Pelodiscus sinensis: one gene and its partner. The protein of the gene in region 1 purifies or fractionates together with the protein of each later gene. This does not show direct contact. Links are inferred from orthologs where the notes say so. Each region holds a gene or a part of one and is shown in the gene's direction. Other genes may lie near its edges.

Evidence for each region.
Region 2: the proteins of USP49 (region 1) and CETN3 purify together in Homo sapiens (affinity purification with mass spectrometry; 4 studies listed by BioGRID and IntAct, with this or other methods). This does not show direct contact. The link is inferred for Pelodiscus sinensis from reciprocal best matches to the Homo sapiens genes USP49 and CETN3.

Annotation. Positions count from the first base shown.
Region 1 is NC_134737.1:9,530,809-9,539,351, forward strand, and holds the start of USP49 (ubiquitin carboxyl-terminal hydrolase 49), read left to right. Parts: upstream 1-5,130; 5' UTR 5,131-5,520; intron 5,521-5,625; exon of another isoform or gene 5,626-5,712; intron 5,713-8,543. UniProt on the Homo sapiens protein: Deubiquitinase that plays a role in several cellular processes including transcriptional regulation, cell cycle progression or innate immunity.
Region 2 is NC_134716.1:74,601,143-74,609,286, forward strand, and holds the start of CETN3 (centrin-3), read left to right. Parts: upstream 1-4,915; 5' UTR 4,916-5,056; coding exon 5,057-5,073; intron 5,074-8,144. UniProt on the Homo sapiens protein: Plays a fundamental role in microtubule-organizing center structure and function. As a component of the TREX-2 complex, involved in the export of mRNAs to the cytoplasm through the nuclear pores.

The DNA of each region.
Region 1 (8,543 bases):
TAAGGTAGATTTACTGCAGGGCTTGGATCTCATGTAGCAATGATTTACTTATCAGGATGGAGAGCTAATGAAATTTCCCTCCATTTAAATGATCTAAACAATGAGAAGCTTCCTGGCTGGTCTGTAAATTTCCTATCTCCTCCTTACATTTTTCTTTGGTGTGTGTTATTTGCTAAGTAGATAGCAATGTGGCTGTTTACCTTGGTTCTGCAGCTGCAAGACCTTTGTGTAGCTTTCCTGAAATGCCTTCCCAAAGAATTTCACAAATAAACAGCCATTAGGCAAGGATCTTCTCTGTTTAATTTCAGAATGCAGCGTCTCTCAAATGAGCAGAACTACCCTGTCCCTGCAATCTACTCTTCCTGCTGAACTCCCATTGAGGTCACGGGGAATTCCATGCCCAGAGGCTTAGCAAGGCTGTTGCCCTTAAACTCTGTGCCTTATATCATTCTGGGTTTGCGCAAGTAGCCTGCGGGAACAAGCACATGGCTTCTTCTAAAAACAAAAGCAAAAACCAAACATGTTCTCCATCGCCAGCCCGTACACTGTAGCCCTCTGTCTAAAAAAGTAAACTGCAAAACTGATGTCTGGGACCTTAGTACACCTGCTGATTTGCCAGGCAAGCTGCAATTGGACAGGGTTTGGGGAGGAAGGTTGAGGATACATTTCTGGAGGATTGGAAAGAGGAGAGCTGTTTTGTTGCTTTGATTTACTGGTTGGCTGAGTTAGTTAATTCATTATGTGATTTAAATGTGATTGGGGGGGCTGAAGAATGGGGTAACAATTTTTTTTGTCGGTAATTAATTGTCAGGGCACCTAGAGTTTGTATGGGCACTTTTTAATTTATTTAACTCTGAATAAGTTAAATAATGTGGCAGCGGGTCTCAGTAGGTCTGGTTGGATGATTCACAACAAACAGTATTTAAATACATTAGCCATTTAAATATATCAAGCACAGGGTGCTATTTTGGGGTTCAGTCTTGCAGCGCAAATGCACATTAGTCACCGAATCCCCTTGCTTGCGCTCTTCAGGGGAGAGTCTGGTGTGCAGCGCTTGCAAGCATGTGGCCACTAGCTCACAATTACGAAGATCTTTAACCAGAAAATTCTGCTCTCCAGACAGACCCTCTTCTCCAGCCTGCGTTCTTAAAAAAATGCTGTGGAATTGTGACAGGAAGATTGGGCACATCAAATATTGCAAATGTCACTCAATACAAAAAAGATTCTGATAAAATCCAGGCATTAGAAGAATTTAGAGAAGGAAAAATCAAAGGCTTTGGTTTGGGAGATTCCTTCGCTACTCATTAGTTCTTTTATCTTAGTACTTGCTTAATTGTATATTTGTGGTATCTACCTGATGAATGGACAGCAAGGTTGATCATGGTGCTTTCATTTTTTGCATTTCCACTGATGTAAGTAAAATATGCCTTTTTCCTAACTGTCTCTTTGTTGAAAGAAAATGGAGAGCGAATCTCATCAGGGGCTTGGGTTTGTTTTTCATTGCCCTTGACTTACCACAGTTTGCTCAATTTTTACTTTTAAAATAGGTCTGAGTACTTAGGCAGATGCCTTTTTGCGAGAGAAATGTCTTTGCTGGGTCTGGGTTAGGAGTGGGGGAGGGGGGAGATTTTTCTGTTCAAAAAGTGTCAATCAGAAGTTGCTTAGCTTTTCAGGATGATAATCTGCACAGCCTTTAAATCCGTTTTCATGGGGTTGAAGATAAGTTATAGTCCTGTTCTGAATTTTTAAATGAGCATACATCAATTTAAAATCTAAACCAGTATTTCAATTATTAGGGTACTGCATCTAGTCCTAAAATACATGGACAGTTTTTATGATTTTATTGTCATTTAGGTTTTTTTTTTTTTAATTCTCAACCCTATTATCTAGAAGAGGTGCACAAAAATTACTTTGTGGATAGTCGAAGTTCCGTGGAATGCAAAAATATAAAACGTTCCATTTTTTTTACTCCAAGTACAATTTAGATGATGCTAACAAAACTAGGTGAATGTTCAACTTGGCTGTTTTTTTCAAGTTGATGTCTCTTCAACATGTAGATGAGTCTCAAATGAGTAGGTGTTCTACAGGAGTATTCTTGACAGAGTTTTTTTTATCAAAGAATGTTAAGGAGCCCTAATGCTGTTCGCCATTGTTCCTACTGTATATTCAAAGAATTAAGTTTATTTTAGTTCTATTTGTTTGAGCTGATTACTGTGCTTGTTAAATGTCTTGTTTTTCAATTTTTTTAGTTTAGTTTCAAATTTTTACTCCTATAAAGGGCCAAAATAATGGTTGGTTAAACTTCTTTTGACATAAAAGAAATTGCACCAAGGATGAATTTGGCTACATGAGTTCACAGTCTTTGGTCCCACTCCAGAAGGAAAACTAAATAGAAGTTCAAATGCCAGTGTGGATCTCTGTTTAGGACCAGAGCCTAAACTTGATCAGAGGTGGGCCAAAGGTATTGGTATAAAGTCTGAAAGATTCCTGGAAGAAGTGAATTTTAAGGAGAGAGAGAACAAGGGAAGGGAGGTTGTTAGCAGACAGAAGCTCAATTCTCCTGATTTCCAAAGGGAATTTAAATGGCCTTTCCTTTATGTTGTTTTTTAAGTGTTTTGTGAAGTGATCTTTGGGATCCACATTGCCAGGAGATGGCTGGAGTTCTGCTCAAAGGATTGTGCCTTGTTCAAGACTAGAGCATTGGGTCTCCTGATAGCAATGGGATGCTTTGAATGCAGCAAGCATACTTTCAGATGCACTGAGACGGAGAGGGACTACAAGGAGGTGAATCTTTGTTGCAACGTAAGCATGCAATGTGCACTTGTCCCATAACACAAACTGTCTGAAGAGGCAAAACAGTTGTTCGGGGGGCACATATAGCCAAACTGGGCTGTTATGGCTTAAGGCCTGGACGCTGCCTCAGACCGTGACATGATAACGACGTTGCTTCGAAATGTCATTGTGCTGCTTAAAAATGTGGCCTATTCAAACATACGATGTTGTTGAAATGCACTGCTACAACAACCTCTCACGGGGATTGTGGTTAAAACACCACCTGACTCTGGGCCAGTGCATAATCAAAGCAGAATGCGTTGGTATCAAGGGAGGACCCGGGTTAGAGGTGGAATCCTTGTTATCGCTGTGATGCTGCCTTGGTAGATGCTTTTGATAGAAAATGTCCGTCTCACTTGCTGCCACACTGTACCACACAGCTTCCATGGAAGAACACGCCTGCGCCACATACCTCACAACACAACTGCAGTCGCCCTGACTACCGCAGCTGTCCCCAAGGAGAGTGGGATCTCATCATGGCACAGGGCTGCTGTAATAGCAAGTGGTGTACTCGCGATGTGGTCCTATCCCTGGGTGTTCCCTTATGTGTTCAGGCTGACAGGGTGCTCTACAAGGATGCTGTGATGGAGTCTCCTGGCTTGTGCAGGGACTGGGGCCTCTGATAGTAGCTCCCCCCGGCAGTGGTCCTTAGGGACAGCTATGTTTCCCATGGCTCTGGGACAGTGGCCTATGCCATCTCATCTTTGTCCCACGAGAGTGACCCATGTGATGGTGGTGCCTTGTGTGGCTCCAAGGCAGCGTCCCCATTAAATGGCAACACCTGGTGTGGCCCCCATCAGAGAGTCTGGAAGGGCCAGATGTGGCCCTGTGGCAGTGCCCCCATGCAATGGTGTTGCCTGAGATGGTCCCATAATAGTGGCTCTATGCACTGGTGGTGCCTGATGTGGCCCCATCACAGCAGCCCTATGCATTAGTGGTGCCAGACAGGGCCCTGTGCAGTGGTGGTACTGGATGTGGCCCCATGCAATGGTGGCATTGGACATGACTCGGTGGCAACTTCCCTGTGCAATGGTGGTGCCAGATGTGGCCCTGGCCTTGTGCAATGGTGGTGGCTGACATGGCCCTGTGGCAGCATCCCTCTGCATTAGTGATTCCAGAAGTGGGGCCGTGCATCAGTGCAGGATGTGGCCCTGAGGCAGTGTCCCCATGCAATGGTGTTGGCAGACATGGTCCTGTGCAATGCTGGTGCTGGATGTGGCCCCGTGGCAGCACTCCCATGCAATGGCAGTGCCAGATGTGGCCCCGACAGTGTTCCCATGCAATGGTGATGCCAGACGTGACCCTGTGGCAGTGCCCCCATGCAATGGCAGTGCCAGACGTGGCCCCGTGGCAGCTCCCCCGGGCAATGGCGCTGCTGGACGTGACCACGTGCTGGACGTGACCCCCATGCAATGGTGGTGCCAGACATGGCCCCGTGCCAGTGCCCCCGGGCAATGGCAGCACCCCCAAGCAATGGTGGTGCCAGATGTGGCCCCATGGCAGCGCCCCCGTGCAATGGCGGTGCCAGACGTGGCCCCATGGCAGTGCCCCCATGCAGTGGCGGTGCCAGACGTGGCTCCATGGCAGCACCCTGTGCAATGGCAGTGCCGGACGTGGCCCCGTGGCAGTGCCTCTGTGCAATGGCAGTGCTGGACGTGGCCCCGTGGCAGCGCCCCCGTGCAATGGCGGTGCTGGACGTGGCCCCATGGCAGTGCCCCCGTGCAATGGCGGTGCTGGACGTGGCCCTGTGGCAGTGCCCCCGTGCAATGGCAGTGCTGGACGTGGCCCCGTGGCAGTGCCCCCGTGCAATGGCAGTGCTGGACGTGGCCCCGTGGCAGCGCCCCCGTGCAATAGCAGTGCCGGACGTGGACCTGTGGCAGCGCCCCCGTGCAATGGCAGTGCTGGACGTGGCCCCGTGGCAGCGCCCCTGTGCAATGGCGGTGCCAGTCGTGGCCCCGTGGCAGCGCCCCCGTGCAATGGCGGTGCCGGACGTGGCCCCGTGGCAGTGCCCCTGTGCAATGGCAGTGCCAGACATGGCCCCGTGGCAGCGCCCCCCGTGGAATGGCAGTGCCAGACATGGCCCCGTGGCAGCGCCCCCCGTGGAATGGCGGTGCTGGACGTGGCCCCGTGGCAGCGCCCCTTGTGGTGTCCCTGGCCCAGGGGGCTAGCTGGAGCCCTGTGCTGCTCCCTCTCCGCCCCAGCCTGCTGCTGCTCTGCCCAGGCGCAGCGCGTGGCCTGTAGCACACGACGCCCCTGCCCCTTTAAGAGTCTCTTTGTCTCTGAAACATCCTTATTTACCCTCGTGTGACTCAACCAAACTTCAGCCTGCGATTCACAAAGCCCAGCTACGTCACTGGTCCGGGGTGGGGCCATCGAGTCCCCGCCCCTCCGCCCTTCTCCCCCTCCCACTCCGCAGCGCAACTGCCGTAAGCCACTGAAGTGCCTCCCAGCCGGCTACGCAAGCGACGCACACTAGTCCCGCGTTCGAAATCTCCCGCTACGCAAGCGGCGTAGGGCCGCGGAGAATGGAGCGGCAAGCCCACGCAATTCACGTACTCTAGTAAAGAGTTCGCGGTCTGTGCCGCGCAAGTGGCCTAACACGCGGGAAAGCTTCCGCGGCGCTCGCTCGCGGGCGTACCGCGCCGAAGAAACCCGCCACGCCGCTCACGGGAGCGTTGCGAAGATGGCGTAAGTGGTGTCGGGGAATGGGGCGTACAGCGCTAGAGGAGGGCGGAGAAGGTTGAGTGTGTGGCGTGCGCTCCGACCAATGGCGTCGGGGGGCGGGGCGAGGCTGGCGGCCAATGGGCGGGGAGGGGGCGGGGCCGGCCCCGGTTGGGGTGTCTCGCGCTCGGTGACAGCTCGCGCGTGCTGATGATGGCGGTAAATAAAGGGGTTGGGGGGGAGGGGGCATCTGACCCCCCCCGGGGGGAGGGGGGTTCACCCCCCGAGGCGGGCTGGAGGAAGGGGTTCAAGCCCCACACTGGGGCTGTGAGGGGGGGGGTCTGCACCCTTATTAGGACGGGTCTGGGGGCTTCACGCCCCCCCAGGGGCTGGGTACGGGGGCGCCTGACCCCCAGGGTGGGCGACTTCACCCCGAGGGGGGGCTGGGGGGTCAGGAGGGGTTTAACCCCAGTTTGGGGGTGAAGTATGAGGGAGCTTCACCCCTTATGGGAAAGCTGGGGGGGGGGGCTCTAACCCTCCCCTGGAGGCTGAGGGGATTGACCCCCAGTTCAGGGGGGAGGGATGTGAGGGGGCTTCCCCCCCGTGGAGGTTTTGGGGTACAGAGCAGGGCTGAGGGGTTGAACCCCCAATTTAAGGGGTGAAGTGGGAAGGGGCTTTACCCCCCCCCGTGGGGAGCGTGGGGTGGTCTAACTCCATGAGGAGCTGGTTTCACCCCAGTTTTGGGGGGGGGTGAAGTGCTTCATTTCTCAATGGGGAAATGTGGATTTACTCCCCACGCCGGGGGGAGCGGAATGGCTTTATCCCCATGAGGGGAGGGGGCCGTTGGCGTTCACGCACAGGTGGGGGCTCCGGGGCTTTCATGCCCACAGTAGCAACTTGAGACAAGGAGAATGAGGAGGTCACCCACCACAGTGTGAGGTTGAGAAGAAGCTGATAATGGAGGCCAAGGGAGAGTTTATGGCCCTTTGGAGGCTAGGGCGAGGTTCAGCCTGAGAGTGATAAATGTGATGGGATGCGAGGCTTAGGGAGCACTCAGGGGAACGGACAGGTATGGTTAAAAGAGCTGAAATGGGCTGGATGATTGAAAATTAGTGGGTGTAGGTGCTGGAGGTGATGGGGACTTGGGCTCATATGTTACAAGGAAGTTTGGGGGCAAGTGTTGAAGAGAAAAGGTAGGTCAGGGAACAAGGCTGGATCAAGGGAGAGGTTGGGTTGGTGGTTAAGCAGTGATTGGGGCACTCTGTGATTGAAACAGTCAAAGAACAGGCGCTAACTATGAAGAGCCCAGTGCTGAGACTATGGCTAGAGAGAGAGAGATACCGTTGTTCCATTATGTGAACTGTGGGCACTGATGGGTTATGGTGGGGAGCAGTTGGAGGTCTTGGAGTGGTGACTGACAACAGGGTGGTAAGTAGCATGGTACAGAGGTGCAAATCCCTCTGTCTGCGGGAGGTAAGATCCCAAGCTACTTTTTTCCTTACTGTCAGTGTGATGTTAGCAACTTTCTTTTTGTTATACTGTTTTAAGAGCATAGTGCTGTAGGTTGACCTGTTGTTCTTCCTTAATCCCATTGCATTTTCCTCTTTCTGTAGCAATGCACTTGGGGTAGAGGGAAACAGTAAGGAAGAGAGAGAGGGGACTCATACTAAAAGAATGATTGAAATGGTTTTATCATTTTTTTTCTTTTATTGTGTTCTAAATGTCCCCAGAAAGGTCTGGGGGAAGTTATGAAGATGGAACCATAAAAATCAAGATATTGAATGCCCTCAGGTCCCTTGTAGAATTGAGCTCTAATTGTGTAACAACTTTTCCTTAAATCCTTCTGGTTTATGGTAAACAGGATTTAAATTGTTGTGCTAATGCTGCTGTTTGAATACAGTAATTGTGAGGGTGAACATAGTAAAATGAGGGTGATGCTTTGTAAATAACAAATTCATATAATTTCATAACAACATTTAAAGTTCATTTGAATGGCCCACAAGATCCCCCTTTCTCTAAACAGAGCAATGGCAGAGTGTGTGTTGCGTGGTTTATAAATAAAATGATTAATTGAAATTTTATCCCAAACCCCAGTATATGCATACTAAGAGAAATAATTCTGTATTGTAGGGGGGAATAGACTAGATCCTCCTACTAGAGATCTGCAGTTCTAGCTCCAAACAGTAGTCCTTACTCACGTGTCCCATTGAAGTATCTGTGCTTGAGTAAATGTTGCAGGATAGAACACACAGTCTCTTTTTCTAACTACCATGATTTTATTCTCTATCTTCTAGAGGAGAGGGAACAAAAAATCTCTTTTGTTCACTTTGTTTGAAGTTTCCATCTGTTTTGTTTTATTTGGGAGGAGCGAGCATTAGGGTTGGAGGGGGGGAGTTGAGGTTGGAGGAATGAGTGTTTGCTGACAGGTTTTTAACAAAGAGAAATACAGTCTATTTGATTTAGCCTCTTGATACAAACTGTATGCTCCAAAAGCATTGCAGAGAGAGAGAAACTGAAATTAATAGGAGAGGGGCAGAATACTGGCAACTCCTTTTCTTTCTTTTGATTGTTACTGTCAGTCTTGAGAAGCCAGACTCATGTTTAAATCACATTTAAAATATAATTGCAACCTGGAGAATTGGCAGCAGCTTGAATGCGCCTCCCACAAACATGTACTTTTCCTCCATTCCCCTCTCCTCCCATTTGTAAAGAAAAGTAAACTCCAATTAAATCATGCTAAGTTTCTGGAGTGCTTTTTAAGAGATTTTAAGAATACATATTATTGGAAATACAAGAAGCTTAGTGTTCTTATAAATAAATTTGAAATTACAAATCCAATTTTAAAAGTTTGTGATATGCAAAGGTAGGATTATTTCAGGTCACCCTCCTTTTCATTTTATTTAGAAAATTTCAGATTTATTCTTTTGTTCAGAGGAGACAGTTTTGAAAATATTTATGTTGTCTGCCTTGCAGGAATCAACTTTTGTCCTGAAATCTGTCTTTAAATACATTTATACAATGTACTTGTGTATGTATTTGCATACACAAAC
Region 2 (8,144 bases), on another chromosome or scaffold:
TTGGGGAAAAATGTGTACACAGGATGCAATTCATTATAGCACACTATCACAAATTCTTGACTCATTTGAAGTTTACTAACTTTGCAGCAAATCACATGAATTCAGTCTATTGTTCGTGTGTAGGCAATGGTGCTACAAACTGCATTGGCAATTTTCCAATGCTTATCCTACCCAGATGACCCATCTGTTTACTTGTGTGCCCTCTCCTGTTCTGGTATCAAGTTGACCAGATGTTCTGTCTCCTTATAAGCTGGAGCACAGCAGATTTTGTCTGTTTGCTCCTGTAGTCAATCTTATTATAATAGCGGTGATAATATTCCAAAAGTCCTACAATCTGCCTTGAGCAAATTGGACCTGTTCAAATCTTGGACCTGTTCTGAGACCCTAAACAAGATTGAATAATTAGATCCTATGCAGTACACCTTGGCATGTATATCTATTTTAATTTTTGCAATTTAATATTTAATTTTTTTATTTAATATTTTTAATTATGTTAGTGTTATGCTAGCTTCTTTTCCAGTTGCCAAATGGCCACATCCATTCTAGGTGGACGAGTGCTAGAAGATTAGTTCCAGTTTCCTGCCTTGTTCCCGCTATCAGCCCATGCTGCTATTTGTCCCTCCATCACTCATGGTCCTTTTCCAAATGGTAGAGACTCAGAAGCCAGATACTTAGCCGATCTCATGATGAAGCCCTAACTACTTAAGATTTTCAGAATATCAGTGACATGCACTTAAAAGCAAGGGTACATGAAGTGAGGTGCCTGCTGATTGCATGCAACACTGATTGTGAGAGTTGTGTGCTCCTTCTGCATCCAATCAAAATGCTACTATGGTTTAATCAGCATACCCTACAAAATCTAAGTACGTAAATGCTGTTAGCAAAACTGCCTTATCCCAGGAGATCATCTTAATTATGACAAATTTGCTGCCCACTGAGATGGAGGGCTACACATGCGGTCCACTCACTAGCCTAATCCTTCCCCCCTCCCCCTCCTGCAGTACTGGATTCAAATAATGAAAACATTATTTTGAGAAAAACGTAGGCTATGTCTACATTGCGCATTCTTGGCTGCACCTCATTTGCGTACCTAATGAGACACTATTTTTGCACAAGGGGCTTTTGTGCAAGAAGCAGCAGTCTACACTGCTCCTTCTTGCGCTAAAAAACCCTCTTGAGCAGGAGCCGTTCTGCCGCTTATTTTCAGGAAGAACGGCTCCTGCGCAAGACGGGTTTTTTTGTGCAAGAAGGAGCAGTGTAGACAGCTCCTTCTTGCGCAAAAGAAAATGGCAGCTCATTTGCATATCTTCTTGCGCAACAATGCGCAGTGTAGACATAGCCATAATGTTTACTAAGGCAGCAGTCAGAGAAAAAGAAGTCTGGTTAGTGTTCTCACTTTACACGAGACAGGCATTGGCATTACATACTTTTCTAACAAAGCAAAGAGAGAAATCATGATGAAATGTTCATGGACATTGTAACACAGACCGCACCCAAAAAACTGAAAAATGCAGATAGAGACAGCGTTTGAGGACAGAGAAACAATGTGACAAAAATCTTTCCTGGGAGATTATGGCACTGGAAAAGGACAACATAACAGTTGCCACAAAAAGCACTGCCATTACCAAAGACAATATGGGGAAAAAATAATATGCAGAGGCAACTCCCGGAGGCAATAAAAAGACAAAGTGCCCTAGTACTTCACATACTGGTAATTCAATACTATTGCAAACCAACACCCAGTCATGTTATCCAATTCCTGGACAATACAAGCTACTGAGAACAACTCTTCCCTGCCGTACCTGCTCCCAAAGGCAATTACCCTCAGACTCCAGCTCAGGACACAGAACAGTGACATATGGAACTCCAGGTTCTGATGGCCTTACAAACAAGAAAAGACAGAGCCAAGACATACTCCCCAGAATACACTGCTCCACAGCAAAGCAAAAAAGCATTGGATAACCTCTGAGAACACCATGTCCTCAGTTCTCACCAAAAACTGCCACTATGTGTACACAGTAATTTCCATTGTCAGAAGGCATATAATTTTGTACACTATGCATTACGTGACACACAGCAAAAAGTTGCTAATTAACCCCTTATGCAGACAAGCTCCCAGCCCCTGCCCTGAATATCTTAGGGTATGTCTACACCACCACCCTACTTCGAACTAGGGTGGTTAATGTAGTCATTCGAAGTTGCAAATGAAGCCCGGGATTTAAATATCCCGGGCTTCATTTGCAACTTGCCGGGCGCCGCCATTTTTAAATCCCCGTTAGTGCGGACTCCGTGCCCGCTGCTACACGCGGCACTGAGTAGGTAGTTCGAATTAGGCTTTCTAATTCGAACTACCGTTACACCTCGTTCCACGAGCAATAATGGTAGTTCGAATTAGAAAGCCTAATTCGAACTACCTACTCCGTGCCGCGTGTAGCCGCGGGCAAGGAGTCCGCACTAACGGGGATTTAAAAATGGCGGCACCCGGCAAGATGCAAATGAAGCCCGGGATATTTAAATCCCGGGCTTCATTTGCAACTTCAAATGACTACATTAATCACCCTAGTTCGAACTAGGGTGGTAGTGTAGACATACCCTTACTACCATTCTTTGCCCGAGAGTGTAATAGCTAAGCTGAGTCAGTTCCTCAAATACAAAAAATGAGTTTAAAATTATGAGAGATTTTCAGATAATTTTGGGATTTTTTTTCTCATTTTTTAGTCTTACCGATACACTTTAGTCATATTTTCAAGGTTTTTCTCAGGTATAAATGATTCTGTCAAGTCACCTGACACAAGGAACTAGGACTTACACCAAAGACTCACAATAAAATTTGAAGAACAGGCAACATGGTAAATGATACAGAAGATCATCACTGGAACTCCCCAAACTCATCTAATCTAGGGACTACCAAGCATCTTTTAAATAGGAGCAACTTTTAATTGCTTCTGAGCTGGGCAAGATTCAAGCTGGGAACCTGCAGGCAAAAGGTTCATTAGCAATACCCAGAGGCATCCTATTAGTGCTAATGTTTCACCTCTGAGAACTGAGTCTTGTTTGAAGTTTTGAATTAAGTTCTGAGCTTTTTTGGAACTTACACAAGAATCATCTTTGGGACTCTGGCAAACTCTCCCACCTATTGCTCTCTCACAAACTTTCTAAATCTCCAACATTCTATCCATCAGAGGGCAGCTCCCATTAACCAAAGATAATTGCAACAAAAAAAAATCTAAATTCACCTCTAAATACTGTTATAAACTGAGTAAAACCTTGTCATAGGTTGAGTTATTAAAACCCCATTGAGATAAATAGGTGTGAATTTATTTTTCAATTAATACCACTATAATGGAAGAAGCCCCCCACGAAACAGAAGGTATATGTGAACTCGTTCAAGGCTTTTGGCTGAATGCTGTTTTGGGCAGCGATGTAAGTAAGAAGAGAGATCAGACAGACACAGAAAACAGACAAAAAGAGAGGGAAGGAGAAGCAAGAAAGACAAGCAGGATCATGTGGTACAGTGTGACTGGAAAAAGCTAGAGCACGCTTTTGGGTCTGATTTGACTAAAGAGACTTGGAGACTGTACAGTATTCTTGATTCTACCTACAGAATCACAGGACTTTGTATGTTCCCTGTTAATAAACAAGATTCCTTCAACTTTTATTCCTAACTGGAATATCATCAGGGCCCTTTCTGCTGACCAGGTGAAAAGGGACAACAATCGCATGTTTTGTAATATCAAATAATCCCGATAATTATTTAATGATTATCATACTAACTTGTATAAATGTATGCATAGTTTTCACCTAGAGATGTTAGCGTATACCTATTTACCGATAATTCTGGGCTCACTGCTTAATCCTCCTGATGGTTACATGCACCTTCCCAACTTCCTCCGTATTAGAAGCAGGAAGAGGTGGGTGCCAGCTCCACAGTAGCCACTCCCCCTACCGGGGGAAGGGAGAAAGCAAGTGGGAGCCAGTACATGGAGGAGCCAATTTTTAAGTTGGCTTTCCATGTGTGCCAGCTCTTGCAGAGCTGCTTCCCACCCAGGCAGCAGCACTGCAGGGGGGGAAGGGCAGCTGGCTTTTAAGTTGGCTCCCTCCCAAGCACCAGCTTCCATCTACCCCCCCCACCCCCTCGCCAGTGCTGCCTCTGTGGGAGGCAACAGGGGATGGCAGGTGGCTCCATTGGAGCTGACTGCCCACCTGCCGCAGCACTGCTGCCTCTGATACAGAGGCACAGCACTGGGGGGGAAGGGGGAAAGGACAGCCTGGCGGGAGTTGGTACGTGTCCTATTTTCACCCTCATACAGATCTATTTCAGATACCAGCAACTGCAACCTTCAATCCACAGCTCTAAAACTGAAGTGGAACAAGGAACTGGTAGAAAAAAAATGCTATTATTCAATATATAGACCAACCTGTGCTACAAGGAACCACAACACACACATTTTCCAGTGGATTACACTGGATAGGTGTGCGATAGCAGGGGAATGCTGAGCATTATTTACTTCTATTATTGTTCCAGTAGCACATTATGGTCTTGTGGTTACAGCACATCCAAATATGAGGGAATGAACACGTAATGTCTGGATGTGAAGACATGACCATCTACCATTTCCCAGCGCCGCAGACTCACAGGCGGGCCTGCAAAGCTCAGCCAGGGTGGACTGACGCCACAACGGAAGGGCGGAGTCTCCAAGATACATCCGGGACTCTCCCCATTTCCCACCGCTTTTGAAATTTAATCGTCCCTTCGCCAATGCAAAGCCCTGGGGCATTCTGGGTAAAAACGGAAGCTGCGTACCTCAACCAAACTAAATAGAAGGCGGGCAGTCACATTGGCTGGCAAGCATTTTAACCAATAAGAGGGTACGATAGAGAGGAGGGCGGGAGGAAGCGGGTGCTCAGCCAGTTAGCTTAGCGACAGAAGGGAGCACCGCTACTAGTGACTGCATTGTATCGTGTTTCCAAGGGGAGCTAGAGCGGCGCCCTTGCTGGTGTCCAGTGCCGGTGGCGGCGGGGGAAGCCCAGTCCGGCCGGGGGTGGGGACGCAACCATGAGTTTGGCTTTCAGGTCTGTACGGGCGGAGAGAGGCGCTGGAGTCTGGCCCCAGGCCTCATCTTGCGGGCTGCGGGGCGCGCGGGCCCAGTGGGCTAAAGCGGGGGGGGGCTACGAGAAAAGCCGCTGTTGCTCACTGGGGGGGCGGCTTGGTGCCCCTCCCCCGGCCCTATACTGGGGCGCTGGAGTCCCAGCTCTGTCCTTTGTCGCTAGCTGTTGTCTGCTGCAGCCTTTCCTTGTGTCAGGGCAGTGCCCCTCCGACGAGACGTGGGCTTAGGGCTTTGCAGGGCTCCTGCCCATTTCAAGGAAGTAAAGAATCCCAGGGTCCTGCTGGATGCCGAGCAGAGCGCCTGACGAGGAGCATGGCAGCAGCTAGGTGACTTGCAGCCCTCCTCCTGCACGCTCGGTGTCCTGCCCCGTCTTCATCTGACAGGAACCGCCCCCGAGCAATAGTCATTAAGATTAGCTAAGATTTAGCCGCTCAGGATGATCCTGCGAGAAGATTAATGCAGACTTCATGGACAGACTGCCCCTTAATCTCTACAGACTGTTATTTAATGAGGGGTGTTGCCCTGTTTATGTGCGAGACCCATACAATTCAGATTTTTTTTGGAACTGTTTTGTTTTGAATACTTCATTGTTAAAACACATTTAGTTTTAAATAGCCATAACTTTGGAATGGCTTTGAATAAATTGCTTTTGCTGGCGAGAACAGGTAAGGCATCAAAAATAAATCCAGAATCTAGTGTTAAGATATCTTATCTGTCGGCATTTCACATACTATCGGCACAGTAAATAGTACTATACATTAGGAATGTAAAACCATTTAAATGGCTAACCAATAAGCATCGGTTTCCATACAGTTACACAGTTAACCTTTTACAGACCTACCCTGCAGCAGAAGAAGTGGGTAAAATTGGGTCAGTTTCCCAGGTGTCATGGTAGATAGTCTATCACTGACTATTTTTAAATCAAATTTGATCTTTTTCCTAAATAGATGCTCGGAGAATTATTTTTTTGAGAGTTCTATGGCCCATGATATATAAGTGGTCAGACTAGATGATTACAGTGGTCCCTTTTGGTTTTAGAGTAGAATCTATGAAGGATGGCTCTAAACATCCTTTCCAAGTCCACCTTCTGTAGCTAACTGTGAGCTGTTTTAGTTCATTCTTAAATTTAGAAGCCGAGAGGCTGAAATAAAAAAAATGTCAATGGCTAGAGTACATAAATCCTACATAAATTCTTCAGCAGCTAAACATAGTAAGAGTGCAAGGTGAGTTTCATTGGTGCAAACCTTGGTTTTTCTTGTGTATATATATTTGCACAGGTACAACTACATTTTCTGAGCTTTAAGACCCCCAGCTTCTTGCTGTGGGAAGAAGCCAGACAGGATTACGAAAGCGCTGCATTCTGGGACAGCTCTCCCTGGCCAGGAAGAGATGGAAGGGGAGGTGGATCTGTGCTCTACCATTGCCCCTCCCTGGGCTAGATCCACATTCATTGCCAGTAGTTAAGAAAAACTCTGTCCCTGCACTCAACTGCAGGCTTTTTCCCCTTCCTCCATTGGCCAGGAATCGAGGCAAATGCAGAATGGTCCAGAACCACCAACTTGCTCCTGCACCCTACCTCCTGTCCAGAGCCTGCTCCGTGGCAGCTCCCTCCTGCACACCGAAGTAAGGATGCTAAATAACAATTAATTTACTTGTTAAGTAGTCCATGGAATTTCCCTTGACTACTTGACTAGTAATTAATCAGTTTTAAGCTGGTTCTCCCTGAGCACCAGTTCCCACGTGCCTCCCTGTGCTACTGCCTCTGTGAGAGGGGGAGGGTCAGTCGGCTATGTGGGTGCCAGCTTAAAAGCAAAGGCACTTCTGCCTGCATCCTCAGCAGTTGTTTTTCACAGCAGAGCTGTTAGGGTAGCTGTAGGAGAAGGAACTGCAGTGGTAAAAGGAAACTGTCAATTTTGGGCCAGGCCTCAGGCCACCCTAAGGGGCCTCATCACCTAAGCCAGCCTTTTGAAGACATGGTTGAGACCAGCACACCATATTGGTCACCAGTTCCACCTCCCCTTATTTTTTTTTTCTCCTGACTATCCTCTTTCTACTGTGCTTCATCTTGTACCATGCCAAGTATCTGACGGTCTGCAGTGATACAACTATAATACATTCTCCATAATGCTACATCTTAAGATCATTATAAAGTTGAAGCTAATGCAAAATGGGGTTTCTGCATATAGGAGTTTAGTTTGAGCTTATGAAACTCACTGCACCATCTTCACTAACTATTTAGTTCCTTTCCAGCAGAGATTAGGATTTTAAAGTTTTAACCTGAACATGGCTACTTTTATGCATTTCTTTGGAGTGCCATTTGCTATTTTGGAGCATAATACAAGTGAAGTTTTATGGCAGTTTGTTTACTAATATATTGATACTGTAATTTTAATAGCTGAAAGGGTACCTAGAGCATTGGGTGGGTATCTTTTATAAATATAAATACATATAGGTAGTCTTCAATTTACAACGTTTGGCTCATGATAGAAGGCCCTTAGAATGTTCCTGAATTGACTTGTTTCGACTTTCCGATGCTCAGTTCCACAATCAAGTGGATTGTGGTTTTGAGTTGTGATAATTTTGTAACTCAGATTTTAAGGAACCAATTGCATCTTAAATCTAAGGACTGCCTGTTAAAGAAATGGTTTCAGACCTGAGAGACTGCTTCTCTAGCTGTGTGAAAACAGGTATTTATGATTATGTGGGAGAAGCTACTAACAAGACATTTCCTGCCATGGTTATTCCAATCTGGTGTTCACTGTCCCACTTCGTTTGCCAGATTTGTCAGTATTCCGGATGCTCAGTAAATCTTCCTTGTTTGTTTCTCTTGGGCATTTGGAAGAGTTGGAATGGGGGATTTAGGGTGGTCAGATGTCAAGTTGTATGGGAAAATCATTAGATGTTTAGTTTTTTGGATACTGTATGTATTAGAACACTAGAGGTATGGCCTATATTACAAGTTTTTATAAATAAACAATTCTGGCTGTACCAATGTATCTCTCTTTGCGATTGGGCAAGTCACTTGAGCCTCTCTTC